Linked DNA regions of Xenopus tropicalis. The protein of the gene in region 2 purifies or fractionates together with the protein of the main gene of each other region. This does not show direct contact. Links are inferred from orthologs where the notes say so. Each region holds a gene or a part of one and is shown on either strand. Other genes may lie near its edges. The genes, in order: pak2 and arhgef6.

The links.
Region 1: the proteins of arhgef6 (region 2) and pak2 purify together in Homo sapiens (affinity purification with mass spectrometry; 3 studies listed by BioGRID and IntAct, counting the BioPlex papers as one, with this or other methods). This does not show direct contact. The link is inferred for Xenopus tropicalis from reciprocal best matches to the Homo sapiens genes ARHGEF6 and PAK2.

Annotation. Positions count from the first base shown.
Region 1 is NC_030681.2:129,795,398-129,812,221, reverse strand, and holds the start of pak2 (serine/threonine-protein kinase PAK 2), read left to right. Parts: upstream 1-5,732; 5' UTR 5,733-6,046; intron 6,047-6,163; exon of another isoform or gene 6,164-6,298; intron 6,299-16,824. UniProt on the Homo sapiens protein: Serine/threonine protein kinase that plays a role in a variety of different signaling pathways including cytoskeleton regulation, cell motility, cell cycle progression, apoptosis or proliferation.
Region 2 is NC_030684.2:69,200,415-69,217,547, forward strand, and holds the start of arhgef6 (rho guanine nucleotide exchange factor 6), read right to left. Parts: upstream 9,959-17,133; 5' UTR 9,929-9,958; coding exon 9,764-9,928; intron 8,720-9,763; exon of another isoform or gene 8,711-8,719; coding exon of another isoform or gene 8,687-8,710; intron 5,011-8,686; exon of another isoform or gene 4,717-5,010; intron 1-4,716. UniProt on the Homo sapiens protein: Acts as a RAC1 guanine nucleotide exchange factor (GEF).

The DNA.
Region 1 (16,824 bases), on a different chromosome or scaffold from region 2:
GCATGCTTTAAATGAAAGTACCTAGAAGCAAGAGAATGTACTCAGTTAGTGCTTAATGTTCTTATACAGTTTTCTGCAGCTTAGCTGTCATTCTTTAGCGTTGTATACATACCTATGTGTGTGTATGTATATATATATATATATATAGCAATAGTGAAAATAAAAAAATAGATCTCTATTCGTCGATTTAGCTCATCACTTCGTGATGAAGGCTCAAGTTTAAGCCAAAATGTTCAATAAAGACTTATCTTTTTATTTTTGTGCTGGACTATATAAGACATAATTATTTAGTTTCCTGAGCACCCAGGCATTTCTGGTTTGTTACCTGTTGTGCACCTGTTTTTTTATATTTATTTATATATATATCAGTAGCTTTTCTTCTGCTTTAATAAGGACAAATGCTGTTATATTTAATTAAACTATGAGTGAATTAGTAGCAGGAATGTCTGCTGAATTTTAAAGTGAGTCCATTCTAATAATGAATATGAACACAATGGGTAGCTCTGCTGTAACCTGAGAGTTACTCAACTGGAGTGGAAGTGATTAACTCTATACCTTGTCTGCTTGTTCTATAACCCTTAGGGCCATGGCAGACGGGGAGATTAGTCGCCCGCAACAAATCTCCCTTGACGCGGGCGACTAATCTCCCCGAAATGCCATCCCACTGGCTAGAATATAAAATGGCCAGTGGGATGGCATACTGCAGCGCCAAAATCGCCGAAATTCCTCTCAAGGCAACTTTGGCGATTTCAGCAAATTGCTGCGCTGCAAATTTTGGGGAGATTAGTCGCCTGCGACAAGGGCGATTTGTTGCGGCCGACTAATATCCCCGTCTGTCATGGCCCTTATGAGTCTTCACTTTGTAATATACACCTGAATATATCATATACACTGCAGAAGGTCCCAGGGCAGACTAAAACTTTGGTAGCATAAGTAATATCACCACTATCTTTCAATCAATACACTGTGCATAACAGATGCACAAACCCCTGAATCTGCTCTGGTATGCTATCCTTATTACACATTGCCACTGTAATATATCTTCTGTACTTCGGAATTCATAAAAAAGAGGTGCTCTATAGGGACTTGCAGAACAGATACAGATCTGCAGGGTACCGTATCAATAAAGCAACCCTTCTGGGTTATTTATGGATCAATATCAGCTCTCTGGCCGAACCACCCCTTTAAGTAAATAATAATTACTTTTGGAAATGTCAAATCTGTGCATTACATGAAATATGAATACTATGGGGCACATTTACTAACCCACGAATCCGAATTGGAAAAATTCCGATTGGAAAACGAACATTTTGAGACTTTTTCGTATTTTTTGCGATTTTTTCGTCGCCTTTACGACTTTTCGGAAATTGTCGCGACTTTTTCGTTACCAATACGATTTGCGCAAAAAAACTCGAGTTTTTCGTAGCCATTACGATGCGCTCGTATCTTGTCGCAACTTTTTCGTATTGAGCGCTCGTAAGCGGCGGGCGAAACTTTCAGACTTAGCATGATTTTGGAAGCCTCCCATAGGACTCAATGGCACCCTGCAGCTCCAACCCGGCCCAAGGAAAGCCTCCCATAGGGCTCAATGGCACTCTGCAGCTCCAACCTGGCCCAAGGAAAGCCTCCCATAGGGCTCAATGGCACTCTGCAGCTCCAACCTGGCCCAAGGAAAGCCTCCCATAGGGCTCAATGGCACCCTGCAGCTCCAACCTGGCCCAAGAAAAGTCACCATACTGAAGCTTGAATGAATCCGAATCTTTCGTACTCGGCACGAAAGCTGCGAAAAAGTCGCGACTTTTCGCGCAAGTAGTAACGATTCAAAAAAAATCGCAACATTTTGCGCAACATTCGGAATGGCTACGAAAAAGTCACGACAATTTTCCGAAAAATCGCCAAATACCGATCATTACGAAAAAAACGCAATCGGACACATTCGGCCCGTTCGTGAGTAAGTAAATGTGCCCCTATGAGTACTAATACTAGAGTAATTTAAGAAAAACTATGGCAGGCAGTAAGTACAACGTTCAAATGCAGTCAGTGATGCCTTCATATGTAAAGAAAAAGTCCTTGCTCTTTATTCTGGACAGGCACTGATAATGGGGCAGGATGCCAAGTGGGAAAAACATGACTGCACCCCACAGCAAAATGATTTTAGGCACACCCTCTAACTTTGACAATTTTCCTATAAATAGATTGAAACTGCTTAATCAGCCAGAGTCTCAGTGGGCTCCCACTACTTCCTGTGCCCCCAGCAGTCCCAGAGTCTGCTTCTATAGTTATGTCCCTGAGTGTCTTTGTAGGTTCTCCTGCTGACATCACTGCTAATGGCCCCTGCACGGGAGATGTAGATTGCTCTGGTATAGGATAAACCAGACCCATTGTGTGTATAATGCTTCATCTCACCACAGTACCAGTGCATTATCATCAACCATCAGCAGAAAGTACCACAATTTTGCTTTTAAAAAAATAAAAAATGATTCAACTATGTTTGAGCAATCCTATGTTTTTATAGCAAACACAAGCCTTCAACATAGAACTTTACATTATTACTAATACCAACTAGTGATTTTAAAACTGTACCATATTTATACCTACAAATCACCATGATTAATTTAAATTTGTGCTACTCTGGGATACTCATTGGGATGTAGGAGAAGGGCCCATTGGGCTGTTCCAATTCCAAGAGTCCCTGACAGTCAAAGAAAGTGTTGGTGAGTGCTCTTCACACTATGTTGTATTTATAAATATCCAGCTACAACTACAGTGAAAACAGGGTGTAAACAAAGGGAACTGGGTGCCCTCACCCCCCCCCGTTTTTTTTTCCCTATCAGGATTCCCAACATTTTCCCAGAAGGTTTCAAACAAAATGGACCACTAGGATGTACGTTTGTACAATGACACTGATAATGATTCCAATATGCACTAGAATTATACTAAGTGCCGTGTACAAACACAGAAATTGTTTAATACACTAATAAACTGCAGCTACAGAGCATAATGGAATGATACAGAGTAGAAGTTGAGGATCACATACATTGTATCACATCTCCTTAGTGGGAACAGAATATACAAAAAATGCCTGATAATTATACAATGCAGTGCTTGTCCCAGTGCCTTCTAGTTTCCTTAAAACCCTTCAAGTGCAACACTCTTTAATTTTTGGCAAAGGCCTAACCTCAGACCTCTCCTTCTGGTATGTGACCCTGCAGAGAATTTCACACATTCACTCCTGTGGCTCTTTGTTGCTGGAACAGATCTTCGAGAGTTATTTATCTGTAATCAACTTTTCCAGGGGTCAAATTCAGACTAGAGGAGCCTGTAGGGCAGTCAATTAGTTTAAGCCACCCTTTAAGACTTTGGGTTAGCATGGCTGTTACGTACAAAGTCAAACGAACTAGGGTTGACTGGAAACACAAATATTATGGTTTCTTGGCAAAAAGCCTTAAAACATCAAGTTACTGGACTTCAATGGGGCACCTTACATTTAACTGCCAATATATATGTAACGGAAACCAATTAATTGTACTTATTTTATCATTGTAGCCGGTGAAACACCTTCCAAGGCCAGTACTGCAAATTTAACGGCACTCCATTACCCTTAACCATTAGGGTGTTTTTTGTAAGTAATTGTTACTTGAAGCTCCTTAACCTGACTGTTTTGCCAACCTCACTGTCCCTTCTAAACCTTTAGTTATAGCTTCTAATGCTAATGGACTCCTGCTGCACAAATATGGCCGCCCCCTCATAGAGAAACATGGGGGATCAGATGGGTAATATAAAGGCATTGAGCAAACACTTTTAAGGTAAAATAAATAGCATGCAAAAACAATTTTATGGTAGTTGTAAAAAAAGATTTAATTTTTGGTGTCAGTGTCTCTTTAAAGCAGAAGTACTGTTGCACTTTTCAAGCACTTCTGAGAACCCCATTTTACACATTTGGCAGAATATTGTCTTTGCTAGGTGATGTTCTTGGCCAAGTTGAGCAAAATGGGCAGCAGTCACAGCTACACTGCTTACTGCACAATATTGATTTAGAAGTAAAAGTACAGAGTACCTCAATGCACCATGGTCCCTGAGCTAATGCATTTTGCATCTTTGGACAGTAGTCACACATGTATCAGGTGGTTTATGTACTTGTTATTACTGAGCTAACATGTACTAACAGGCATGCATGAAATCTGCCCTTGACCGCCACTATGGATTCTGAGAAGCAAATCTTAGGGGTTGTCACAAATTATCAAGCAGAAAATTAGGTTTGCCTGCCATATAAGCTGATGCTAAAGGGCTGATTGATACATTTTGATGCCAATTGCACTGGTTTCTGAGCTGACGTACTAATAATCAGAATTATTTACTCGTCTCGTATTGTGACATTTATATTCTGTATATACAGTCAGCGTTCGACCGGGGTATTGGGAGAAAACCTGGTGGGCCCCCATGGTCCTGATCCGCTCAACCCCAGGGCGCTTCCTCCATGCCGCGTCCCTCCCCCGACACACCGCAGTTAGGATTCTTTTAGGAGCGTTCGCAGGGAGGGGGACGTAGGGTGTTGGGGGCCTCTGCGGGATGGGGGGGGGGGTGAAGAAGGTGGTGGGGGCCATTGGGGGGTGCCCTGGTAGGCCCTGAACTCCCCAGTCCAACCCTGTATACAGTATTATTATGCCACTGCTTTGAGTCGTTGCTATTTTAAAGGAGACATATCATATCAAAATTATGAATGTACCAGTGACTTCTATTCCTCTAAATATAGAAGGATTGTGCTTAAAAAACATTGTGTTTCTGACTGATTTATTGAGAAATTCCACAAAACCCCTCTAGTCCCACCAATCTGTTCCACTTCCTGCTGGCTGAATTCTCTGGATGAGCTGGGGAGCCGGCGGCTCTCAGTACCCTGCACTGTAGGATAGGAACCAATCAGCAGCTAGGCTGACCTGATAGGGAACGGAAGCCTGTCTGTGCTTGTGTGAGTGCAGGGCTGTGATTGGCTCTCCCCCTCCTACTGTGCTTCTGGCAGAGACCGTTAGTACACGCCCACCCTTCATTTGAAACACAGACAGAGAAGTGATAGGATCTATAGGGAGCTCCAATAAAGGGGCCATTGTTACAGATAGGATTCATTTTAAGCACAAAGGGAAACCAGTACCATATATTATTCATAATTGCCTACAAAATTAGGGTTTTTTCCATTTATCCAATATGTCTCCTTTAAAATCTCGTTGTTTACTATGTGAGAATGACAATAAAGATATATTCTATTCTATTCTATTGTGAGAGGGTCCTAAGCAGTGAATCAGGAGAAATGAACATGGGGAGCTACTGGGGCATCTTTGGGGGCACAGATCTTCCCTGCTAAAGGGCTGTGGGTGACTTGGGCTGGTACAGGAGCCCAAACCTAATATGCAGCATTTCTGCTTTCTGCCCTACTCTTCCCTTAAATGCAACCCAGACAATGAAGCTGCCCAAATACAGCTGTGTGGGGAGGGTGGGTGAGACAAGTGTAACATGCAGAAACCTGCATTCAACCCAAGGGCCACCTATCCGGCAAACCCCTAACAAGGCGTCAGCGCCCACTCTGAAAGCCAATAACAGCGCAAGCGCACACGCAGCAGGACTGCTACAATTTCACTGTCATGTTATTGGTAAGTAACGGCTCCTAGCACGCCCACACACTCCTCACACATACCAGGCATTGCATCTCATCTGACAAAAACACAGCGGCGTAATCCCAAACCCCCCTCACTCGCTGTGCGTACACGGCCCTGCCAGCACCCCCGCCGCCCCCCTTATGGTGGTAGCGCCCACGCTTCTCTGCCCGCCCAGTCTCCCCGCTCTGCCACTCAGCTCCTCCCTCTGTGACGCGCTTCTCACACAGTGGCGCTCAATTACTGAACTGTGACAGGAGCAGTGGGGAACCCAGGGAGGTGTGGCAACCCGGAACCGGAAAAAGCAAGGAAGAGGAGGGTCTGAGAGAGCGAAAGAAGGGGCCCAGTGGAGAGGGAGCCGGCGGAGGGGAACAAGTCACAACACCTCATTCACACACCCGGTAATAAGTAACGTGGTTTTCTGTCACACAGTTTGCACTGTCCCGTTACGTGTCATGTTATAAAGTTGGGGCGGCCTGGTGTGCGGTGTGGGAGCGGCGAGGCCGGCAAGCTGAGGGGTAACACCATGATGGGGATATTGTGAGGAGAGGAAATAGTGTGTCCGGGGCAGCACGCCAGCTATAGCCAATCCTTGGCTCCTATTGGGACCGAACTACAGCTTCTGGGAACCCGGGAACTCTAGTTTATCCACTGTCGGTATTCCTTGTATTCCTTGTATTCCCTGTATTCCTTGTATTTCTCTGTATTCCTTGTATTCCCTGTATTCCTGTGCTGGACCGGACAAGCAAGCACCCAGTGCTCAATTCCAACTCGCATCATGTGCAGCTGGGGTTTGTGGGAGTTATAGTATTCTGTACAATAGAATGGCCCTTCTTGTGCTTGGGGACGTGTCTTTGCTGTATAATCATTAGATAGGGACAAGGCAGGATTTTATTGGATCTCTTCCTGCTGTGAATACCAATGGTGCACAGTGGCACCCAGCTGCCAGGTTGGACTTAGTGGCTGTGAGCCCCTTCAGCAGAAACTCAGGGTATGAACCCCATAAAGAACTTTTTCAGACTAGTGGTTTTTGACATTTTGCAATAAAAAATTGCTGAAATAATTTCCATTGAGCTCAGTGTGAGATGCAAAGATATGTACCTACTGGGGCACTGCAACCTGCAAGGGTATCACTGTATGTATACAATACAATATGATATATGAGTGAGGCAAAAAACCTGTTTAGGCTGTGAATGTAACTTGGTGTATAACTGCTAGTCTGCACGGTCTTGGGGGTTTCCTCGGTTAAAACTTGCATTGCTTAATACCTTGGCATAACATGATTTTGCCAACCTGTCAGTTCAGTTGAGTCAATAATGGTACCAAGGCCGTACCTATCTAGTTGAAATGTAAATTGTTCAATTCAGAACAATGTTTTTATTTTGCAGAAATATAAAGAGATCATTACAGGAAACAAAGTTTAATGTCATTGGTGTGTACCCCTATTTAAAGTAACATTGCCATCCTGGGAAGGGTCCGATTGCGTCATTGGTGTCAGAAAGGATTTTTTTCCCCCTCTGCGGCAAATTAGAGTGGCTTCAGGTGGGGTTTTTTTTGCCTTCGTCTGGATTAACTAGCAGTGAGGCAGGTTGTATATAGGCATTATGGTTGAACGTGATGGACGTATCTCTTGTTTCCTATGTTAGGAGATTTGCTGATAAGACTGGAGCTACTTGCTTCCATGGCATTCTGGTAAATAAAATCAATATGGCACCAGGGTTACAGGTAGAATCCGTGTTGGACTGGCGGGCCAGGGGCACACTCTCCAAACTACTTTTTCTCAACTCCTCACTCAACCTCTATAAATCTGTTCTATTTAGTCTTCTTGTTCATATAGAGAAATAATGAATGACCATGAACTAGGCCAAATGGTAAGAAGTATGAGGGCCCCCTGACACCTGGGCCCACCGGGAGTCCGACACTTGGTAGAATGCGTAGGTATCATTATTTACTCTCAGCCAGGCGAGGAAATAAACTGCTCTGTAACATTCACTTTACTGAATACATGGTGTGTAGAAGTCTTTACCACTAAATGGAGGGGCAGAGTGAATCAGACAGCACAACTTTGAGAGCTTATCTAGCAGGGGAGCTTTTAGATTATTGTGATTTATGTAGATTACAGTTTGCACATGTCCAGTACAGTTCTTTTGGTCTTCTGTGGGCCTTGAATACAGCCAAGTGCTATATTATTTTGTTTTTTTGCATGCCAGAGCTCTAAATGAAAAATGCAATAATACAATAGTCAGTCATTTTTGTGGACAAATGTAGCGCTAACCGCAAGGGCTAATTTCTTCCCCCAGGTGGGTATACGTGCATTGCACAAGAGTTACAAAAATGCATTATTATAGGGACAAACTAATAGTGCTTTGATCACTTAAAGAGTAATACTAATAGCTGTGCATGTTATTTTCCTAATAATTAATTTAAAAAGTCAGTAATCTAAATTATTGTGCATAGTGAAACTGTAAGAAATATAGGCAAGTAAGATGTGCCTTTTAATGTTTAGAAAAGCAATTCCTATTATCTGCCGTAAAGCAATGTGATGTATTTCTCACTGTCCTTTTATCATTCCTTTGGACAGGTTGGTACTCGCACTGGCTGAACCCTTAAGGCGGCCATACACAAATAGATTTTGTTCTTCTTCCAACAAACTTTCAGATATCGAATTTATGTTTAAATGCAACAATCTAAAACTAACATTCAGATTGAAATTGAAGGATAAAGTCACGACAAACAACAATCGTATGAAAGTGATGTTCCTGCAATGCATTGTAGGTCACCAAAGGACATTGTCGGATACATGCATAGATTTTATCACTGTTGACTAATCAACCAGTCACCGTTGTATGAAAGTTATGGGAATGGGCCCAAACATGGTCCAAAAATCATACCATTAGATGGTTGCGTGTATGGCCAACTTTAGGTTTGTCACGCAAAGGCAGAGAAGGGTCTGCTGGATGAACCTTGTAGATATCAGTGGTGATACCCCTGCAGGCTTTCTTTGATTGACTGCTTACCATCAATAGAAAACATGTAATTGCTTGGTGCCTGACTATAACTTGTCAATCTGTAGTCTAGGTAGAGTAAAAACGACACCGTGATAGCAAGAGTTCTGTGATGCTATTTCTTATTACAGCTGATTCTATATTGGCTTTCCTATTACGGCTGTTGGATTGAAAGAACTGGTCCTCCAGTCAGAATGCTGTTATGCATAACTAAATGTAAAGGGGAAGTTTACATTTTGTTATTATGGTATAGAGCCACCTGTTGGAAGCAAGTGTTCAGTCAGTCTTCATTAATTTGAATACTTTTTTAATCATTGACATTGCTCTTCTGCCTTTTTCCAGCCTGTAACTGAAAAAGCTCTCTTGGGGGGTCAAATAACACAATGTCTGCAAGGGTTTAGTGGTGGTCCAATTTTTATCGCTTTTCCAAAGTGCTGTCTTGTTGCTAAGACAGTTAAGCTCTAGCAACCAGATAGCTCTTGAAGTTCAAGTCTAAGAGCTGTACAAAAAAATGTAAGTTTCAAAAACAAGGAATATCGTTAGATACACAATACATGGCCAGATTTTATTGCTATCTGACCGAAATTTTCTAACTTGTCCAATCGACTAAATGACGATCACAATGGTACTAAAATTATTATTATTAATATAATTCGGAGCCCACAGGGTCCGAAAAGCAGACAAACTACATTTTGTACTATTATATTGGTGCATGTATGGCCAGCTTAAGCATACTGAGCCATTTTAACTTTTTGACACTTAACATTGCCTCTCTGTGGAAAATATCAATGCTATTTATTTTTCCTTGAATGATACAGGCAAATTCTTGAATAGTGGTGGTTGTAATGGCGTTAGTCTTCCACATTGTGGTTTGCAGAGTTCAGGAGTGAAACTTCTCCTTATGTTGCTTTGTGTAGAGTGGGAAAATGTAGGTGTGAGAAAATAGGCACTTTGTGGCCCAAGTTTCTGGTCTTGCTGCAGGTTATAATAAAGCTGTACTGAAAACTTGCAATCTTTTACAGCTCCTAACAAATTCATATCTTTGACTCTTTCATATATTGCCGCTTAGCTATTCTGTTCATGCTTTGATATATACAGTTTACTTTAGAGACATTCGCACACTGAGACAGAGCTCAGCGTCTTACTGAGATTAAGAAGCAGTGACATTTTATCTTTACTTTTTCAATCAAATAACGTTCCAGCTCACCCTTTTAGGCCTGTTTGTGCATGTCTTGCACATTCTGAAGTGAATTCCTAATCTATTTGATGCCTATAGGCATTTTCGGACAAAGTAAGAGCTGCTATTTAACATGATGGATTGTCAGGTATGTTCTTTAAATTTTGCTCTCTTTATATATTGACACAGATTAGCAAGTATTGTTTCAACTGTAGAAAGCAGTACTGATACTGTAGTTGCTTTAAATTGACAATAGGCTTGGGTGCCAAATGAGTGGATAATGAGTTGAATAAAATGGAGTCTATAGGAGATGGTCTTTCTGTAATTCCAGCTTTCTGGATAACTAGTTTCCAGATAATGGATCTCATACCTGTACAAACATTTCTTTATGTTGAAACAAAACACAAAAAAATGAAAACAATAAGGTTATAATAGCTCAGCTGGACTTTGCACTAGTAAAACAACTGCTTATTGGGCTTTATTCTTACAGCAGAGAAGTACTTATTATGACTATTATCTGTGAGATAGGACATTATAACATATTGGGGGTTTTATTTTCCATTACAGAGTCAATAAGTACATATTTGCCAACTCCGATTCCAGGTACCGAAAATTGCTTCTGACTCCACAGCTCTAGTCAGATCATGCTACTCTAATCCTTGGAGTCAAATCATACTGAGGGCCTATGGAGATCTGTTGGGCAAGGACTACATGAACATGATGATGTGGTCTTAACCCAGTATTATATTTAAACCTCCCCAATCAATCAACATATGTCTGATTTTCACCCAGATATTGGTCATGCGGCCTCTCAGTCAGCTGAATAAGCTGATGAATCAGTCTGGAGGAGCCAAGTTTTCTGTTCCTATCAGCCCCTGTATGGGCAACTTTAGTCAGCAAATGTAGCCATAATGTGCTTCAGAAAGATACAAGCGGCAGAATTAAGTTATGAAATTCAAAAACCTGTTTCGAGGGTTAGAAGTAATTTAAGATGACTGATTGTTTGCTTGAGTGTTTAGGAGGTATGTGCTTTTTGTTGCACTTAATTATGGGCCTATGATTAAGTTCAACAAAAAGCACAAAACACAAAGGAATGTAGGTACTCTGCTATTTTGCAAATAACTATTATTCAATTTACTTTGCCTGTCTATATAGGATTACATGTGTGCCTGCTCAGCCACTCCTGTTTTTCATTATCACACCTTGCTGATGGTCTGGGGCATTTGCACTTTTTTATGACCAGAATTATACCTCCAACGTTGAGTTGTTAAAGAGACTATATGTGCAGTATCACATTATGCCTGTCTCTCTCTTGTTACATTTGCTTGGGCCGAACACACAGGCGATCAGAACAGTAAACAGTGAAGAGGAGTAGCGGCAATCTCATGCACCCAGAGGTTTATTATGTGTACTAGTGCTGTACATGTGTCAGATGAAGGCAGGGGGAGCGTTTGCTCTTTTTGCTTTCATTTAGCTCATATACTGTTATGCATCATCTACATGTGGTTACCATCCGATTTTAGTGATAAGTATATCCTCTCCATGTGTTATATGCGGAAACAGGTTATTATTATTAATTGCATCTCGGTTATTTAGAGCTACAGTGTTGATAGCATTTTTAAATCAGACAAAATGGTGCGAGGTTCAGCCTCTCACATAATTGTATCTCCTGTGTAATCAGATAACTTTACAAACTCTTCTGTACTGTGCTACTCAACCCAGTTATTAAAACTGTGCTTATTATTTGTTTCCTTTGAGGTTTAAAGTATACATAATGTACCTTCGCAGTGTGTCACTACTGGATAAAATTTGACGGGTTATACCTTGGCAGTCTGAAATCTCTCCTGTAAGCTTTCCTGTCTGAAACTAGAGGTTTCGCTTGTTTTCCATTGAAGTAAATTGTATCCTAGGAGGTGGTTATCAGTTATATTTTCATGTAGGAAAGATACATCTGTAAGGAAAATACTATAAAATATATTGTTACCTTTAGATGGACTGTACAGAGTATGAACAAAGGGATACTAGCAAAACTTTTTAACACACAGGTTATTGTACCAAACCTTGTATTTGTTAACAATATCTATACATGTATGGCCAGCTTTAGAATCACTCCTGTTTTATTAAGTAGTAGTTTTTCTTTGTTGACATATTCCTTTCTGCCAATAGGAAACCTGCACACCTTGTTTTGTGTTGCAAAGGGTGTTTGCTTGGAAAAGTCTTATTTTTGCAAACTGGGTAGCCATTGTTGTAAGCTTTCTTTTCATCTCCTAATATATGGTATTTTTCATGCATTGTATGTGTACAATGCATTGTTATGCAACGTTATATCTGGCTTTTTCACAAATAAGACCTTTTTGGGAACTGTTCTTCTGATAACATTTTTTGATTTCCTCCACTGGTCTTTGGGCCTCTCAAGTGATTTCACTTGGAAATGGTCTTTTTCCAGCTGTGTTTTTTTTTTTTTTTTCAGAAGTACAGAAACAGTCCTTTCATCATCTTCATCATCATCCTCATGTGCAAATTTAATTAGAGCTCTGAAAGAATTTGCAGGGTGCATTAGTGCTTCTCCAATAGGAAATCCTGGACGGAACTTCCTTTTTTATACACATTCTTACTCCACTGGAAAAACGTATCCCTTTTCCTGTCAAGCTGGGGTTATTGTATTAATGGTAAATGATGGCTAAGATATACAATGGTTGTATGTGCAAAAGTGTGTTGTAGCTCTCGCAAGTCTTTCTAAACTTTTTCATACCTTGGCGCAACTTTAAACATGGGAATTTATTTCTATATTTTTGTGTACATGTATTTTTTAATCAGTAGGTAAAGGTATTTTTTTTGGGGGGGGGGGGGCATGCACCCATGCATTTTTTTTGTTGCATTATATTTATTTTAATTGTCTTTGTAATACCTATTCTGCAATATGTAATGTAGAAAATTAAGAGCAGAGTTACTAACGGGATGTTAAAGAGGAATGCACAGAAAGAGAGGGCAGCGCGACTTGGAGGGACCTTTAGGAACCATTAGGGTTGCACATTGTGTGTAGTTGCTGGTAAATCCCTACTTTTTGTCCACATCCGGACCAATCCCTACCTCCCCTTCTATCCCCTACTACCAACTTTGTAAAACTACCTACTCATTTGATCCATCCTCTCTACTTGACAACTCTGCCCCCTTTTACATTACAGCCTGACCCCTGCCTATTCATCATCATCCAGACCCTTTTCCCTGACATGGTTTACTGTACAGACATGTAGGGGCGCAACCATATTTATAACCTAGGTAGAGACATTCCTCATAGACTTCAGTTATACAGCACCATTAAATGTCTGTCATCCATGTTACTAGGATCACTGACCATGCCAACCTATCGAAGTCCAAATCAACTATAACAGTTGTTGGTAAATGAAAGCAGCTTTAAATAAATCAAAGTAAAATGAAAGTATAGTATACAGTATAGAGTGGGTTGGGGCAGACCCATGCCCAACCTAGACATCCTTCCTGCAAAAGGACCCTCTGTCCTTCTATGCCCCTTCCCCAGACCTCCCAGAATGGGTTTAACTTTACCAGCCTTGGAAACTGGAAGTGATGGAGGTGGATTGACCAGATCAGGGATACAAATTGCTTTCTCTTCAAGGAGGTGGGGCGTTTAGACCACACCTTCCTAGGGCATCCCGATAGATTACCCTTATTACTGCCTACTTTGGTCAGGGAATCAATGATTTTCCGCCTGAAACCTGACTGCTTTGCGAGTGTAAATTAGTAAAAATAATAAGTGTTGAGTTATACCGTAAACTGTAGTGTGTTGGAAGGATCCTTAAGTTTTGTAGTTGGGGAATGCCCTTCCTAGTGATGTTGTAATGGCAGATTCTGTTCCTATAAGAGGGGCCTGGATGAGTTCTTGAACAAGCATAGTATCGAAGGCTATTGTGATACTGATATCTACAGTTAGTATTGATGTCAGTATATATGGGTTTATGTATGAGTATATAGATAGGTCTGTATGTGAGTGGATAGGTCAGTATGGGTCTGTATGTGAGTGGATAGATAGGTCAGTATGGGTCTATGTGTGCTGGGTTTACTTGGAAGGGTTGACCTTGATTGTCTTTTTTTCAACCCAACTATGTAACCTGCCTAGCATTAGGTAATCTGTTTGGTGGAAGGGCTTAATTTTCTATAACTGTGAGTTCTGCTTTAAAAGTGGAACTGTCACCCAGGCATAAAAAGCTGTATAATAAAAGTCCTTTTCAAATTAAACTTGAAACCCAAATTCATTTTTATAATAACACATTCAAACCCATTATAAAGGCATTTAAAAATCCCAGCTGTCAATCATATATTGCTTGCCCCACCTCTATGCCTTAGGCGTAGAGGCGGGGCAGGCAATAACTTTAGCTTTCCGTTCAGCACTACCTAGATGTCAATGCACATCTCACTATCCCCGTCCCTCCTCATCATCTAATTGTGCAGCCAGTGCAAGGGCCTGGGCTTCTTGTCCCCCATTCTGGCACATGAACAAGATTTTGGCATGATACAAAGTTTGCTTTCATAACAATGTCCACAAAATGGTGCCCGCTTGATTTCTTTGAGTAATCCAAGACGGAAGGAAACAAGATTTATATTATTTATATAGTGTAAGTAACATTTATTTTGCTTAACTGACAATATAGAAAATAATTTGGAGTTATGTCTTGGGGTGACAGGTCCCCTTTAAACTGGCATTTCCTAGTCTTAATACGTGCATCATCCCCAGGGATTCAGTGGTCTGATGCCAGGTGGCAATAGGTCATTTCATAGTAACATGATTTCTCCCATCTTCTTCATGCCATATTTAACTGTGAATGTCTTTCTGGTTTAAAAAAGAGCAGTAAGGCTCTGACAATCCCTGTTTTACAAGAGGATCAAGTAGCATGTAAGCTATTTATTAACTTTAAATAAAAGTATTTGGAAACCTTAGGTCCTTACCCATCTATGCATTAAGGGAAACTTAATCCAAGAGTATTTTTAGATAAACTGATGCTCTGTGTCATGTAATATTCAGGTTATATTTACAGCAGCAAGTAGCTTGCCTCTCCCTTTCATGGTAACTGACAGTCCTAACAAAGTTCAATAATATCATTTTTTGTTTCAGTGGTATAAAATCTAAGGGTATTTTAACAGTGACAACGTCCATCCTGTATGCAGAGTGACGGTAATTAATGGTCTGCCTGTCACTGCTACATGGGGTGGATTTCAACCAGGGGGTGAAAACATACTGATCTCAGTGGCAGGTGAATCTCATTAATTCTTTTCACTTTACATAAGGTACAGATGTAGGATGCAATTGCCTTTTCCTGCGCTGTGTAGCACTATAACACTACAGAAAACTCGTAACAAACAGGCACAATTGGATAAGTAACAAAGAGCCTTACAACAGACATAGCATCTTTAAAAACACTTAAAAATGACACAACCCAGCACTATCGTGTCTACCTCTACCCCAATACTCTGTGTCAATAGTGTTTAATAGCAGTAGCAAAAAGTAACATACTTAAAAGTAGTTCACTATAATTATTAATATGGATACATCTCCGATATAGTCCAAAAAAAAAAATATACAGTAGATTAATACACTAACTATAAGTGTAGTAGCTATAAATGTATCAACCTAAGAATTATAATAGTTACAATGTATACAAATAAATAAGTATAATAAATCATGCAAATAGAGACCATTTCCAGGAAGCAAAATAAGCATATTATTTTGCTCCGGAAATGGTCTCTATTTGCATGATTTATTATACTTATTTATTTGTATACATTGTAACTTTTATAATACTGGAATACAAATGTTTCCAAATGATGTAATCAAACTAAACTAAACTAAAGTATCCGTATCATACTGCAACACTTAATTCATAACTGAGCAAAGCAATGCAGGAAATGCCTTCTGCACAACCTAAATCCTCACCAATATTGAATTTATTAAGATGTTCAATCTCAGAGGCAAAACATTTTGGGGGTAATTTTGATGTTGAGGCATATTTTGCATAATTCAGAAACCTTCCTGTGTTACCCTACGTATTTGTGTGTGCTGTCTGTAATTGATTTGTATGGAGACTATCACAAGCTGGTAAAGGCACTTTACTATAACAGGTATAGGAATCAATTTAAGCAAGTAATTCTAATTTTTTTCCCTTTTCTGAAATTACAAACCAGTTCCTTGTATTTTATCCCAACTAAGATGCACAAATTATAGAAATAATACCAGATTCTGAGTATTGCAGATAATGTATCAAAACCTATATGATAGTTGTCCCATGGCGCAGGTTGCATTTCCGCAATAAAGAATTTTTTAAGGGCAAGGCCCGTATGTAGCTCTTGAGTGCCGTTGCTGTTTGCTTGTTTGGAATCTGTGGGGAGGGTGCCGATCCCTCTCTAGCATTGTGCGCCGAGCGGTGAGTTTCCGTTGGAGGGCTGAGGGAGTGCGGGTTTGGATTCGTTGCTTGCCATGGCGCAGGAAAGACATCATTTACATGTCTATGAAGATTTTCATTCATCCAGGTCATGGTATATCTAGTATAAATAAATTTAAAGCAACTGGACTTGTTAGGTAATCATTGAAGACATTTCCTGTGCCATGGGACAACTATCATATAGGTTTTGATCCATTATCTGCTCGGATGAGTAGTGAAACGTCTTCAATGATTACCAAATAAGTCCAGTTGCTTTAAATTTATTTATACTAGATACATCATTTACATGTTTTTATGCAAAAATATTTTCTATACAAAAGCAACACTTTTTGACCAGTCATATGTTAACAGCTAGCTGTTTTATCAGTAACAGTGCAATTTAGAGTAAGGTCAGTTCCAAAATGAAGCCAAGTTGTTTGCTCTATAATTTAAAAAGGAACAGTAACACCAAAAAAATGAATGTATAAAAGTAATTACAATATAATGTACTCTTGCCCTGCACTGGTAAAACTGGTGTGTTTGCCTCAAAAAGACTACTGTACTTT
Region 2 (17,133 bases):
TCCTTGCCTAATCATCTTTCCAGGTTTTTCTTCATGGCTCGAGCCATTACAGCATGTTTCTAGCACTTCTTCTCACTTGCCCATGTCTTCTAATTACAAAATATCCCAAGGGCACAATTTATTTACATGGATTACCTAACGGGCATACTACATGATAAAGCATTGCCCTTCTGAGAGGACTGTTTTCTATGGGACTTGTACTATGGACAACTACACAATCATGTGGATACAATTTAATTTGCAGCACGAGCACAGGGTACCTACCAACAAGATTGTAGACTCTAAAAAAAAAAGGCTGCATGGAAAGTATAATTCTGACTTTTCAAAAATATTTTTTCCCATGTTACTAAGCTTGCCCTTTCATCCCACTCCCATGTCTCAATAAAACCACAATCTTCCAGTAATATTTAAAGGAGAATGCAAGTCAAAATTTAAAAAGCATACTGCCCAATGCCCAAAACGCCACACTTTTGGCTTACCTAATCAAATATTTACTCAGTGACACTTACTTCACATTTTCTAGAACAGGCAGCCATCTCTAAAAAGGTGAATACTGCACATACTGCACATGTGTTTCATTCCCTCCCCCCCCCCCTCTCCCTTCTGCAAGATCCGCTTCTGATTGGCTGGTGGGTAGCTGGTGTAGCTCAGAACAGGAGACATGATCAAGTTACACACATGCTCAGAGAATAGGAAGGCTGCCGCTGGCAGCCTACAGGAAGAGGAGAGAGATTTCAGTGATGTCACTGTAGTCTTCACACTGCTGTAGGCTGCCAGCACCATATCTCAGAGACGCAAGCAGGGATCTGGGAATTTAGATATGCAGTAAGTACTTAAAAAGAATGGCTTTAGACTTACATTTAATTTATATTAACCTTTCATTGTCCTTTAAGAAGATTTGCAGTTTTTTGTTTTAAGATTACTGAACAGGTTTAAAGTGCAGACCAATTCTTTTTGGAATGTCCCATGCAAAACTGATGTCAATGCACTGCATGAAAGCATGTGATTTGACACACATGCATGTTTAGCCACACATAGCTGGTAGAAAGTCCCACAATGTTAGTTGAAACTTACAGTGTTATTTTTGTCACTTTATCCCTGTCTGCCTATGCCTATCTGCCCAAAATATTAGTACTTAATTGCTTATATATTTACAGTATATTATTACATATTATTAGATAGTTTTCTTTCAACAAGTCAGCATTTTTACTCTCTTTAACCTATTTTCATTTTAAAACTATTCACCAGTAAATATATTCACTATCATGCCTCTATTCAGAAACACAATAAGTTTCATAGTTAATTTAAGAAGAAGCTTAATTTTAGTTTAGAATACCCTGGTTTCTATGCTAGCCCAATGTCAAACTGAAATTTATTACTAACTATAGTAGAGGCTCACCAATCTTGTTGGGTCAGGGTGCACACGCCCCAGACCTGCATCTTAAGGAGAAAAACTGGCATTATTTTTGGCAGGCACTCACAAAATCCCATCAACAGGCATAGTAAACTATAAAACTTTAGTCAAACATTAGTAGGATACATAAGCTAATAATATTAATTACTAATTGGCCTTGTGCCCAATGCACACGCTGTGACTCTGCAGAAAAGATGGGGAGCATAATGGGAGCATTTTGGAGACACAGAGCTTCTCTGCTAAAAGGCTGTGGTGGCACTGAGCTGGTACAAAATGGTTACAGAAGTAAAGTTGCAGTCAAGCAAAGATTTACCTGGCAGTTTTGCAATTCAATGCCATTTCTTAAATATACATTACATTAACATTTATTTATAAAGCGCCAACATATTCCGCAGCGCTGTACAATAAGTGGGTTACATACATTGGACATACAGAGCAACATATAAAGCAATCAATAACCGATACAAGAAGAGGGCCCTGCCCAAAAGAGCTTAAAGATACCTGCATCCAAACCCACTCCTTGAAGTCCCACATACAAGTGGCCAGCACCAATGTGCCCATCCCTGTTGCAAACTGTGAGCAAGTGTATATTGACACTGTAAATTCCCACAGCATCAATAGACGCAGTGTGCCTAAGAAGCCGTGCGTAGATGTCATTTTGCCACTGAGAGATAGAAATGGCACATTCCTGATGCTAAATTTTTTCAGGACAGGCACCACCTCAGGGACACTGGAATTATGGGAAAAAAGATTGCACTGTTGGTGTAAAACAAGGAGACTTACATCTGACATGCACTTTCAGACATTAATGACTCTTAGGGGCACATTTACAAAAGCACGAACGCACGAGCGTTCATGCGAACGCTCCGAGTGTATTTTCGCCGATTTTTTCGGGCGTCCGCACGACTTTTTCGTACGCTGCACGACTTTTTCGGACGTTTGCACGAAAAAATCGGAAAGGTTTTACTGCTGTTTACAATTGTTCAGTACGAAAATTTCGTGACTTTTGGATCGCCAATACGATATTATCGTGACTAATACGATTTTTTCGTAAGCATTTTCGTGATATTTGCGATCTTACGAAATTTTCGTTTCCAATACGATTTTTTCCCATTCGTGATTCGGAATCGTGGATTAGTAAATGTGCCCCTTAGGGTGCAGACTTTTTTGTTCAGAATAACTGCCTTTCATCTACCATACTTTAATGCCAGCCTTTAGTCAGGTTTGGGCAATGTTGCATGTCAACTAATACTGGACCACAAAACCCAAAGTACTCAAATTTTCAATGGAATGGAATACTCTCAGATCTGGAGAGCGACAGAAGAGGTCACACGTTACTATTGCAATTACTGTATATACTCGAATATAAGCCTAGTTTTTCAGCACCCAAAATGTGCTGAAAAAAGTCACCCTCGGCTTATACTCGAGTCGGGTGCCATGGGTCCCTCTAGACTAGCACCCTCTCTCCTTTGTGTGCAAATTAGGCCACCCACAGCCAGACCCTCCAGTTCCCTGGCCTAGGCTCCCACTAGCAATACTTATTTCCCCTTACATCCCTCCGGGACCAGGTCTGCTGCCAGTTTGCCAATGTGCAATGAGCGTGGGGTAGTACTCATATTGTTTTTGTTGACCCTCTTCTCCACTTACAGAGCTAGTTTACTGTTTTTCTTTTAAATAAATATTTAAAAACATGTACCCAACTGATGCCTCAATTAATGTAATTTTATTGGTATTTATTTTGATTATTAAAACTTAGCAGTAGCGGCTGCATTTCCCACTTTATAGGCTTATACTCGAGTCAATACGTTTTTCCAGTTTTCTTAGGTAAAATTAGGTACCTCGGCTTATATTCGGATCGGCTTATACTCGAGTATATACGGTACATGTTATTTAAGAGAAAACGATACCCGCAAACAATGTAGAACTCAAGCTCATATGCAAAACCCTGCTTTATCTAAATAAACCATTTTCATAAAAATATTCTTTTTTTAGTAGTATGTGCTATAGGGTACTCCTAAATAAAAAACTGCCAATTTATGAATTAAGGGCCGCCTACTGGGATCATAGGATTCACAGTGCACACAAGCCAAAGCACACATACATGTTAGGTAACATCAGCCAACTTATGGACAGAATTCTGCCTTTTGCTTCCACACTACTTTCTGTTACAGTTAGAGTTGCATTATTTATGGTCATGTAATCTCTATAGGGAGCACACAGCCCATCACTAAATGGTGGCTCAAGGGAAAGGATGTAAAAGGGCAATATTTACTGATATATATATATATTCCAATTTGGAGAGATTTTTTAATAGGTTACTTAACATAATATAAACTATCTGTTGGTAAAGCATTCATTCTGGAGTAATGGAAATCAACACAAGCAAAGAAAAAGATGGAAAAAGGGCAGACTGGAAATAATACAGGTACAGGACCCATGCTTGGGACCAAGGGTATTCCAGATAAGGGGTCTTTCCGTAATTTGTAACTTCATACCTTAAGTCTACTAAAAAATCAATAAAACATAAAAAGTAAACCCAATAGGATTGTTTTGCATCCAATAAGTAATACTTATATCTTAACTGGGGTCAAGTACAAGATACTGTTTTATTACTACAGGGAAAAAGGAAATCATTTTTAAAATTCTGAATTATTTCATTAAAATGGAGTCTATGGGAGATGGGCGTTCCGTAATTCTGAGCTTTCTGGATAACGGATCCCATAACTGTACTACAATATTATGCAGTTTAGAAACACGGGAATGGGGTCTATTAACTGATTATGCAGAGTGTTTGGAAACTGCGATTTATGATAGCACCCTATTTAACCCTTTCCCTGGTGCTGGTTTCGCTGGGTTAAGGGCACTTTGGGAAAAGCACGTAGCTTGCCGACAACATAGCACGTATGTCGATGGCAAGCAAGGGGTTAAACAACTTTTCTTTGTTTACTTTTTCTCTGTAATGAAAAGACAGTACATTGAATCTGACTTTAACTAAGCTAGCATAAATCTATATGACAATCTGTAACTTTTGTATCTGACTTAAGGCAAGTGTTCCACATTATGGATTTATTTTTAAAATCTGAGGTCCTTAACTTTTGAGATAATAGTCCCTATACCTGTACAGGAAAATCCCATGCTGGCAAGCTACACACAAAGAGGTGAATGAATACACTGCTTGTATAAATACAAAACAGTCCTGTTAAACTGCTGAGGGGAGGGTAGGGGAGGAAACAACATGCTGTGTTAGCATAAGTTTATTATGAAAGGTGTGTTAATAAGGGCACAAACCCAAAGCTACTGACCTTATAGAAAGCAGTTTACTAAACAAGATCTTCTCCTTTCCTGTACAGTCTGAATTCAGTGACAGGAAGAGAATGTAAACTGGGCTGGAAAATATCTCTAACCAATCAGCGAGTAGCACAGAAATAACCTCTCGAGTTCCCGCAAAGCTGCCAATAAGTGTGAGGTTTACATTACAAAGTTCAGGAAGCCAGAAGGGTGATTGGAAGAACATGCACAGACACAGCTACAGAATGCTTCAGGCCATGTGATCAAACCTAGTGGCTTGCAGTAAAAAAAACTAAAATTCACAACGCTAAAGCAGCAACGGAAAGGAAAATCAGAGCACCCACCCTTTAAATCAGAACATGTGTGACAAATAAGCCAAACAAGCTGTTCTGACACTGCTGCAGCTCCCTAGTGCGTGTGCTTGTGTGTAGCATATGCAGTGAGTGCAGGAAGGCACTGCAGACAATTCAGCACAGTCCTCTACAGTACTGGTTTACATACAATCATTGGAGGGAATAGAAAGTGTCAGTAAATAAAGGAATCCTCTTTGTAGTGAGACTAAGGGAAAATCGAGGTTTATTTCAAAAGTTCAAACAGAATTTGTCAGTAACCTATATGCAGTTATTATCTGTGCAATATGATTTCGTTTTCGCAGTCAGATCAAAAATATTTTGGTCTGACTGGCAGCAGCAGTACATCACACACTGCATTTTTGTCTGGCCTTGGTATTATAGATAGTACGTATATTTGAGCATCACAGTAAAATAGGGTTACAACAACCACCTTTAATACAAACTGCCTTTACCATGTAAGACTGTACAGCGCTGCGTACCCTTGTGGCGCTTTATAAATAAAGTTATACATACAAGTTATACATACAACTAAGCTACTACGTACTTGGATTTGCTTCTATATGTCAGTATTGGCTGTAGTGTCAAGCAAGCTGCGGCTCGTCGTGCCTTGCACTGAAACACATCTAGCCGGGGGTAGAACAGGCAGAACAGCGGAGAGAGGCTTGTGAGTTTGCAGCTAAAGTTCTTTCACGATGTCTCAGTAAATGCTTATGCTTTTGTATAAAGCCAACTCTGAAGCAATATGGGTTATCATTATATGGTTGTCACAGGAAGACTAAGCATACCAGGGCCTATTGTTGCGTGCAGCTTATCTTACTTCTGCATTTGCCAGTTCTCATGCTGAGGCAGATGAACATTTTATTTTGGACAGACCAACTGTGGTCTGATGGTTGGGCAGGCCTGTTCAATCTGCCAAAGAAAATCTGAGCATGTGTATTCAAATTAATAGTATGCATTTTTTATACAGAACCTATATTCATAATAACAAACAAATGTGTAAAGAAATGAATTGCTTTTAAGTTTAAAATTCAGGTCTAGAAGAAACACACTAAGGATGAAAGCCATTAAAAAAAGAAAAATAGGACAACAAAAAGTTGCTGATTATGATGATAATGACTGTTATTCATTAATATACATATAAATGCAAAAATACAAACAAATTTTATTTATGAAGATATTTAGCATTTTTAAATGAAAAAATATTTAAGGTTCATGATAACTACAAGGGACTATGCACCTGGCTGAAATTGTCTTCTATTGAGTTGAATAGGTATCACATGAAAATGCTGAAACGTGAGATTTCCCAATGGTCTTTGCCTAAGTTCAATTGTTCAGCATTCAGTTGGGGTGGGGGTGGCCCCAGTGGCGTAGCGTGGGCTTTCGTCGCCTGGGGCCGACCGGAAATTTGCCGCCCCTCTATTTAGTTATTCTTAAAAAAAATAGACAAAATAAAAAAAGCAGCATTAAATTTTTTTTTTTTTTTGATTGAATTTGAAATGCGGTGCGCATGTCATAATTGTCAAAAGTGGATTCAGCTGTGCGTCCGTGGCTGCCCATGGTGGCAGGGCCGCCATCAGAAATCACAGGGCCCCTCCCATCAGTACAGGACACACAGACATAAAAAGTATTAGGGTCACCCTACCACAGTGGCCCCCTAACACTATGCTGGCCAGGCCCCCCTAACGCTATTCTGGCCACGGTCCCCCCATACAACTGCCCCATAGACAGTACCCCCATACACAGTGCCCCCAATTGCCCCATACACAGTGCCCCCCACACACATTGCCTCCAATTGCCCATAGAAAGTGCCCCAATTTCCCCATAGACAGTGCCTCCAATTGCCCCATACACAGTGTCCCCATAGACAGCCCCCTCCACACAGTGCCCCCAATTGCCCTTAGACAGTGCCCCCAATAGGAAGTGCCCCCATACACAGTGCCCCAATTGCCCCATTCACAGTTCCCCCAATAGAAAGTTCCCCCATACACAGTGCCCCCATAAACAGTGCCCCCAATTGCCCCATACAAAGTGCCCCCAATAGGAAGTGCCCCCATACACAGTGCCCCAATTGCCCCATACACAGTGTCCCCATAGACAATACCCCCCAAAGACCTTGCCCCCCAATAGAAAGTGCCCTCATACACAAAGCCCCAATTGCCCCATACACAGTGCCCCCAATAGGAAGTGCCCCCATACACAATACCCCACAAAGACCTGGCCCCCCCCATGGAAAGTGCCCCAATTTCCCCATAGACAGTAGCCCCCACACAGTGCCCCCAATTTCCCCCATAGTACATACCCCCAACAGACCATTGGCGGCGGCTCCTTCTCTCTTACAGGCAACAGGCGCTTCTATAAGGTTGCGCCTCGTCGCTGACGTGTGACGTCATACGCACGGGCGCAACCTTATAAAAGCGTAAGAGAGAAGGAGCCGCCGCCGCCCCTTCTGATACGCCGCCCGGGGCCATGGCCCCCTCGGCACCCCCCTCGCTACGCCACTGGGTGGCCCTCTTAGGGTCCTGGAGCAGTGGCTGGGGGTTTATTCCGCTTAAACAAGTCCTGTTGTGCCGGTATTTTTGTGCTATTTGGAACGTGGTGGAGAGTGCTGAAGTCTCACTCTAAATACTGTGCACCAGGCGGAACAGAGTGGAAAGGCCAGGGTGTGCTAGTGAGTGTGGATTGGTAGTGGCTGGGGGCACAGCTTTAGGGTAAGCCAGATATTGTAAGATTTGTCCAGAATGCTTATTTGCTTTCTTAAATTTTACACTGGAGAACAAAGACTGAATGGTTTACTTGGTTCTTGGAACTTAGAGGCATCCTAACCAAATTCTGTCCTTCAAAGGGGAGCTTTGCATATTCCGTAAGAGTCCAGACACCACTGCCTTATAGTTTGGCTGAGATGAATTTGATGTTTTAAAGCACTAAAAGTATTTATGTTTAGGTGATGCTACTTTTATTCAGATTTAAATATACAAATTATAGTTGAAAATTGGATTTTGTCCGAATGCAAACATGATTGATGTAGTACATCTCAGATGATCGTGAGAATGATAAACCCCACTTATCCTCAGCAATCAAGAGTTACAATGCATGTTTTGTACTGCATGATTTTCATGCTTGGAATCTTGCTTTAAATGAATTTTCTGCCCATCATCCTTTCTGACAGAGTGTTTTCAGCTGTGTATTGTGCTTCCAGTTGCATATATCATATTTTCCAAAGAGCAAATGAGGTTGTTACACAATTTTAAATTCAATGAAGTTAAAGCTGAATGGAAGAGTGGAATCAAGCAGTAATGCCTTGTAACAATACAATAAGATGTGCAGTGAATCACTACATACAGTATTTATAAGACTGTATAACTAACATACCTTTTCCATAAATGTGCAAAATAATTATTGTATTCAGCAAACGTATAGCTCTTCTGCTGCTCTGCTGTCTTCTGCTTTAGAACTGCTCCTAGCATTCTCTACCAGGCACAGGAAACATTCAGACAACCTTATATAATTGTTTTTAAAAATACCCTGGGGTACTTAGAGCAAAGTTAGTGGGTACATTAGAAGCTGTTTGCGTTAAAAAGGGAAACATATTGTTCAAATGAATATAAGAGGAAAAATAATATAGCTAACTTACTAGATGTTTAGATGTGACGTGCATCAAGCAGTAGTCAGACTGAGCTGAGCACGCATTAAGGGGAAGTGACAAAACAGAGTTCATCCTTACATGGCCAACAGAGTTCTCGCTACAAAAGCATAAGAGGAACTAAAGTGGACCAGTTATTAAACAACATGCATCAGTGTATCAGTGCTTCCTCTTTCATAAACTACAATATCCACAAGCCTCTGCCATCTTTCAGAGCAGTGCCAAACGCCAGAATGTTAACTCCAGGTTAGTGTATTGCTATGCAAAAAAGACTACAAAACATACAAATATTTCAAGTGTCCTGCTGCAACATAACCATGGGAGGATATAAAACATTTAAGCACTGGGGTATTATATACTTAAGGAGCTAACCTAACACACTGATTTTACCTTAAAAGTGGCCTTTACTTTCAACTGTTTCCTGGAATTTATATAGCGCTGACACATTTTGCAGAGATTATGCATCATCCACATCAGTGTCTGTCCCAGTGGAGCTTACAGTCTAAGGGCCCTATCACAATCACACACAGGAGGGTCAGTTGTATTGGGAGCCAGTTTTCCTGGCTGTATGTTATTGGAGTGTGGGAGGAAAATGAAGTATTCAGAGGACACCTATAGACTATAGCCCAGTAATCCTCAGTGAGTGGCTCATGAGCAACATGAGCTCCCCAACCGCTTGGGTGTTTTGAATTCCTGGATTTTGGGCATGTTTTGGTTGCATAAAACAGGTGTACTGCCAAACAGAGCCTTCCGTAGGCTGCCAGTCCACATAGGGACTACCAAATAGTCAATCACAGCATATATGTGGCACCCCAAGGAACTTGTTTGTGTTGCTCCCCTACTCTTTTTACATTTGAATGTGACTCACAGGTAAAAAAGGTTGGGGACCCCTGCTATAGACTCTGTATGAATTTCTATTTACTTAGGCCCAGGCAGTTATGTTCCTTTATTCCCAGAATTGTGTTTGAAAAAAGATTGTGCACAAATCATACCTAAAAATCAGGATTTTTCGTATACTCATATTGTGCGCCTATTTAGGCGAAACGGAGAAAGTGGGAAATGGCTTACCTTAGATACAAAGCCTGGGAGGAGGCGGTTCATCAGTTTGCAGAGCACCACCCCATCCTTCAGTGAACATTTCAAGAAGTCAGCAGGATTGCATATGTTTTTCTTGGGAGAACTTAACACCCCCAGTGAGATCAGCCAAGTGACGGTCTGTTCCTCAGGGTTCATGGCTGTGTAAATTGGCTTCGTACAGTGCAGGGTGCAATGTAACAAAGCTGTTCTGCAGCCACATCCGTGATTGCATCTGCTCTGCTCTTCCTATATGTGCGGGCTGAGCTTACTTTTCAACAGCTTTACCAACTGCCTTCAGTAACAAGCAGGAAGCTGCATGTAATAGAATGTGCTCTTATGCTTTGCGTTCTGGGGATCCTAAAGTAGTATTTTTTGCTTGCATCTCTTATTCTCATTGTGCTTGCTCTAGGGTTTCAAAGTTATTCTGGATGTCCTGATGTTCCAGAAAACCGGTCTCATAAATTATGTAGGATAAGTGCTCTGTTTTCTGAGCCAGTGCAGAACAGATCAGCACAGGATAAGAGGCTGAAATTAAAATGCATGTTCTTTGATACTGGATATAGTTAGCCTCATACATGTTGTGTATATACAGTACAGAGCATTTTATTGAATGAATAAACTGAAAATAAAATATATCTAGTAGAATATAGAAATGTGGATATTTAAATAAAATACATTAGGCCAGGCATCCAGCCTGATTGGTGGCCCTGAGCATGATAAATATAGGGGTATATTTATCATGCTGTGTAAAAAGTGGAGTGAAGCATTACAGCGATGTTGCCCAGGGCAACCAATCAGCAATTTCACGGTTAGTGTCCCCTAACCTGCATTATTTTGAAAAACCCAATAAAATATATAAAACAACATTTTTTTTTATAATTCTGCTGCTTGGAGACTGTTGAAGTGACCTGCTGGGGCTAGGCTAGCCAGGGGGAACCTATATCCAAATAACCATTGATTTGCAGAGCTGTTCCAGGTGACATACATAATGTGTTAAAGGAAGAGTAACACCAAAAAATGTATATATTTTAAAGAAATTAAACTATAATATACTGCTGCCCTGCACTGGTAAAAGTTGTGTGTTTGCTTCAGAAACATTTCTAGAGTTTATATAAACCCTGCTGTGTAGACATGGGGGCAGCCATTCAAAAGAAGAAAAGTCACAGGTTATATAGCAGCTAACAGATTAACCCTGTAGAATACAAAGGTGCCTTTTCTCCTTTTTCCCTGCTTGAATGGCTGCCCCCATGGCTACACAGCAGCGTATTTATATAAACTATAGTAGTCTTCCTGAAGCAAACACCCCAGTTTTACCATTGCAGGGCAACAGTACATTATATTTCAATTACCGTATATACTCGAGTATAAGCCGAGTTTTTGAGCACCAAAAATGTGCTCAAAAAGTCACCCTCGGCTTATACTCGCGTATATGGATAACATGTATATCCCGTGGATGTCCACGCGCACCCCCGCCACCAACCCCTCCTCGCTCAAACCACCTCATTGCTGTGCGCGCTGTACCACTAAAACCTCTCTTTGACGTGCGCTCCTATGGCAGATTCCGTGCGAGAATCCGCTCTGTCTGAGGATTCCAGCTGCCGCTCGTTCGTACCCCCGCCGCCGACCCCCCCTTCTGGATGCACGCAAGTGCACGCAAGTACCGCTCAGACGCCCCACCCCTCGCTGTGCGCGCTGTACCGCTACGATCCCTCATCTGGACAATCTCTACAATCCGGACACAGTGACCAAGAGGAGCGTGTGCCTCGGTCCCCAGCAGCTTCAACCATCCCCGCTCCCAGCCTACAGTAAACACCCGCCGCTACTCCTGGGCTAAGCTGCAGCACAAGCAGCCCATTGCGTTGTCTGTGGTGGTGGTTGGTTGCTAAGCAACCAACCACCTTCTAATACTGGTTGCATAGAACTCAGGACCCGGACTGAGAAAGAGCTGTCCAAACTGTGCCTTAACTTGAAAGTGGCTGCTCCCAGCCAAAGAGCGACTCAGCCTGCAATGTATTGCACCCCAGTCCTTTGGCACACCAGGCAAACCTGGCTTTTTCATGGCTGCACAAGGCCCCTGTGAACCTGCACAAACTGTAAGTCTACCCTGATGCACTCTCTTAGTACATAAGCTGAACCCCTTGGGTGCAAGATTTGGTAGGTAGATCCACTATCAGGGCTGTGCACCAGGAGGCTCAAGTGCAAGATGCTTCACTCCAAAGAGATTTTTGGGCCTGTCTAGTCATGGGCATCATGCACTTCTCAGCATCATGTAATTGTAATATTATGTAAGCCCACCCTAGGCTTATACTCGAGTCCATACAGTTTTCCAGTTTTCTTAGGTAAAATTAGATACCTCGGCTTATATTCGGATCGGCTTATACTCGAGTATATACGGTACTTTAGAACACTTAAATTTTTTGGTGTTACTGTTCCTTTAAAGGGATTTTGTCATGATTTTTATGGTGTATATTTTATTTCTAAATTACCGTATTTTCCGGCGTATAAGACGACTTTTTAAACCCGAAAAATCCGCACCAAAGTCGGAGGTCGTCTTATACGTCGGATATGGCAGGGCCGCCATCAGGAGGAAGCCTATTTACCTGAGGTCACTTCTCCAGCAGCAGCTGCATCTCCCGGGCGGGCAGAGCCCCGAGCACCGACGGCATGAGCAGGGCCCGGCATGCACAGCGGCTAGTACCGGGGGAGGGGACGGCCACACAGCAGCTGGGCATGGCGGCGCGACTGCACGAAACTGATACCGTGCCTCAGCCACGGACTCAGCAGGAACCTGACCCGGAAAGCATGGGAAGCTTCAGTGTATGAAAAGAAACCAGGGCAGGGTTGGCCAAGCCGCGGCCCTCCGGTCATCATTAAACTGCAACTCCCAGCTAGTCAGCTAAAGCAAGAGTGACTAACGTTGTATATCACTAAGGGCTTGTAATAAATTCTTACCACATCACCATTTTTAGGTAATTATAACTTTATTGCTTAATTTTTCTGTTCAGACTATACAATGTTTCTCTTTCATTCGAACTTTCTACTGGCTGCTTGGTTGCTATGGTAATTCAACTCTAGCAACCAAATAGCCTTCATTGACCGCAACAAATGTAAAAAGAAAAAAACACAAAGAATTAAGACTAAGACAGAATATAATTATATAACTAGTATAACTATATAAATAGAATATATAAATAGTCTATACCTTACTAAAAGAACTAGGAGGCCTATTCATTAAAGGGAAATACAAAATTCCACATGATCAAGGTTTTACCAGTTAAAATTTATTACATTTTCCAGCCTGATTCATTTATATAATTTGCTCATTTATAGCTGAACTACTGTATTTTAAGACTGTATAAGACGACTTTTTATCCCCGAAAAATCCGTGCCAAAGTCGGGGGTCGTCTTATACGCCCAGTCGTCTTATACACAGGAAAATACGGTACACTGTTTACGTAGCTAATAATTCACTCTACCTTTTCAAATTTTATTCCTGAACCAACAAATATATTTTTAAAAAATACATTATAAAACAGAAATACCAAACTTGCACAGGACTGCCTTTCAGTTATGCACTGATATTTCTATTTTTAGGAAATGTTCCATTGGGTGGACCCAATATTGAGTGTGATCTTTTTGTTTTCACTTCATATTTTTTGTGAGACTCCTATTTGGTATCACTGGATTTTTCTTGAATCTGGTAACCTTAATAAAGGGGTGGTTGACCTTCAGGTTAACTTTTATTATACTGTAGAATTGCCTTTTCTTAGCAACTTTTCAATTGGTCTTCATTTTAAAGAAAACATTATTGTGAAGAAAACTATGGCTTTATAAGGCTACAATTTTATTTAGGCCCTACTCTATTCATATTCTTGTCTCACTTTAAAAGCACTGCCTGGTTGCTAGGTTAAACTGGACCCTAACAAAAGGATAGCTGCTAAAATTTCAAAAGCCAAATAATTTAAAAATGAAGACCAACTGCACATTTGTATGCATCATGGCATAATTTTGGTCAACCAAAATATTATTTCAAAATATTTATTTATATATTTTTTTATGTGACTGCCCTTGCTATTAAAGTCAATATAATAGAAACGTTTTTAAAAGATATGAGAATAGAATAACTTAAGCATGACATAAAAAGGATCTTACTCCCTTACCTGTTGCTTTCCGTCTCGCAAGAGGCAGAGGATACCAAAGGTTTTCATATTACCAGAAAAGAGTAAGACTCAATCTGTTCCTTTATTGGAAAGCCACACTAGAAATATATTTTTATATATATATATATTTCATATTTACTTTTTGTAAAATTTAAATTATGGCATTTAAGCTTGCAATGACTATTGTGCTCTCAGGAGAGCAGGATGATCACAAACCCCAACCTACCTTTCCATTTTAGTTAAAGTGATCCAAATGATTTATAGAACACACCAGTTCCACTTAGGTGCAGCGGGACAACTTTCTCAGAAGTGTCATGTGCTAAAATCACAGAAATTAACTCCAAGACAGTACCTAATACAAGTTTGCTATAAATTAGCTAAAGAGGCTACACAGGGCAAAACAATTATGCCATGACTTTATGCGAGCAGTTTCAGTTAATATTATCCTACCATAAAGGGCACCTACCACATAAAAATTGTTTCCCTGAAGATGGGAAAAATAGTAATTTAAGAAAATCCCCTTTGCAGGTGCTTTACTCCCCACACCTCAAGGGAGCACATGTTGGCACACAAAGAGCATGTACCCCAGAATGCAAGTTTTACAATCTGCTATATTTCTGGTTGTAGAAGAACTTTCAAGAACTTTATAACACTATGGGGCTGATTGATCAAAATGTGAGTTTAGAGCTTAATATATAAAAACCTCACCCATGTTGTATTAATTTCTATGGGATTTTTAGAGGCGTATTTGTCAAATGGTGAGCTCTAACTTTCACCCATTAATAAATATGCTTCTAAAAATCCCATAGGAATGAATAGAATGTTGGTTAGTTTTTATGTATTAAGCTCTAAACTTATATTGTTAAATCTGCCCCTTAGCATAGCTTTGCAGTTTGGCATTTACTCATTTTGTATTTAGCAGAAACTTTTTTTTTTTATTCCACAACAAATGAAGTATGTGTTGATCTTGAAGAAAAACTATACCCCCAGAATATATCATATTTTGGGGGTGATTCACAAAAGGTCGAAATACCTAGGGGCAGATTTATTAAGACACAAATTCGAATCCTGAATGGGAAAAATTCGTATTGGATACAATCATTTCTGAAGATCGCAACTTTTTCGTATTGAATGATCATAAACGGTGGGAAAACCTTTCCGACTTTGATCCTTCTTTGCATGATTTTGGAAGCCTCCTATAGGACTCAATGGCACTCTGCAGCTCCAACCTGGCCCAAGGAATTTCACGATACCGAAGCGACAATACGAATTTGTCGTAAAATTTTATTGGATTGATAAATCTCCCCCATAGTGTTATTTTTAGCATGATTTAAAAATGGTATCACTTCTTATATTTTTATAATTAACTATCGATTCACCAAAAGTTCACTTGTCTGATTTTTATTTTTGTTATTTTTCAGTGAGCCATGTGCGGTATCTTTTAGCATGCCATATTTTAAAGCATGCAATATATTTATGTGTTATTTTATAGCACACATTATCATATGCTACTACCCAGGTAACCGTTACTTTCTGAAAACTACAGTTTTTCATGAAAATTTGAGGATGCATCACTCTAAGGTGATCACATACTTGATTCTCTTCTTCAGATTAAAAAAAAAAAAATCAGACTGCAAACTCCATCTTGTCAACACAGCCGATCATAAACTGCAATGTTGTTTAGTAACGCCCACTCCTAGGAGGTGTTAAGTTTCACAGTATTGATCACAATTTATGCTTTTAACTCTTAAAATAGAACTAGACTGAACGCATAATTCAAAGACCTATTTGCCAAGTGTCGCAATGCAATGCGATGCAATCTTGCATATGCGACTATTAACACATGCAAAATGACTGATGAATTGTTACTTGATTAGACATAATATTAATCTTATCGCATAATGCGTTGTGATAACAAACGTTTGCGAATCAGCCCCTAAGGCTGATGCCACACTAAGGGGCACATTTACTAACCCACAAATCAGAATTAGAAAAATTCCGATTGGAAAACGAACATTTTGCGACTTTTTCGTATTTTTTTCGGCGCCTTTACGACTTTTCGGAAATTGTTGCAACTTTTTCGTTACCAATACGATTTGCACAAAAAACGCAAGTTTTTCGTAGCCATTACGATGCGCTCGTATCTTGTCGCGACTTTTTTTGTATTGAGCGCTCGTAAGCGGCGGGCGAAACTTTCAGACTTAGCATGATTTTGGAAGCCTCCCATAGGACTCAATGGCACCCTGCAGCTCCAACCTGGCCCAAGAAAAGTCACCATACTGAAGCTTGAATAAATCCGAATCTTTCGTACTTGGCACGAAAAAGTTGCAACTTTTTGCGCAAGTAGTAACGCTACGAAAAAATCGCCAGATTTTGCACAACATTCGGAATGGCAACGAAAAAGTCGCGACAATTTTCCGAAAAATCGCCAAATGCCGATCATTACGAAAAAAACGCAATCGGACGCATTTGGCCCGTTCGTGAGTAAGTAAATGTGCCCCATAGTATTTTCAGCAAGCGGAAAAACACTTGCCAAAAATATCACCATACACTCCTTAAGGCTAATGCCAGACGAGGCGTAGGGCAGATATTTTCGGCAAGTGGAAAAGCGCTTGCTGAAAATTCAGCACGGGTGCAGGCACATGTAGCCGATATACGCATGAAAACACGATATAATGCAAAGTTTTTATGCGTATATCGGCTACATGTGCCTGCACCAGAGCGTATCTCACTCATTCGGGAGCAGGCACATGTAGGAGGCATAGGGCGGAATTTTCAGCAAGCGCTTTTCAGCTTGCCGAAAATATCCGTCCTACGCCTCGTTGGGCATTAGCCTAATGAGATACGCTCGGGTGCAGGCACATGTAGCAGAAATATGCATAAAAACATGAGACTTTGCATTCTCTAGTGTTTTTGTGTAATTATCAGCTACATGTGCCTGCACCCAAGCGTTTCTCATTCATTCAGGTGCAGGCACAGATGGGGGACATATGGCACATGTTTTTCAGCTTGAAAACATACACCATACTCCTGGCTTGGCATCAGCCTAAGTGTTCTACTAATTATCTTACCAAGTTATAATATATATTAGTATATTAAAGGAACAGTAACAAAAGTGTATAAAAGTAACATAATGTGCTGCTGCCGTGCACTGGTGAAAGTTGTGTGTTTACTTCAGAAAGTCTACTATAATTTATATAA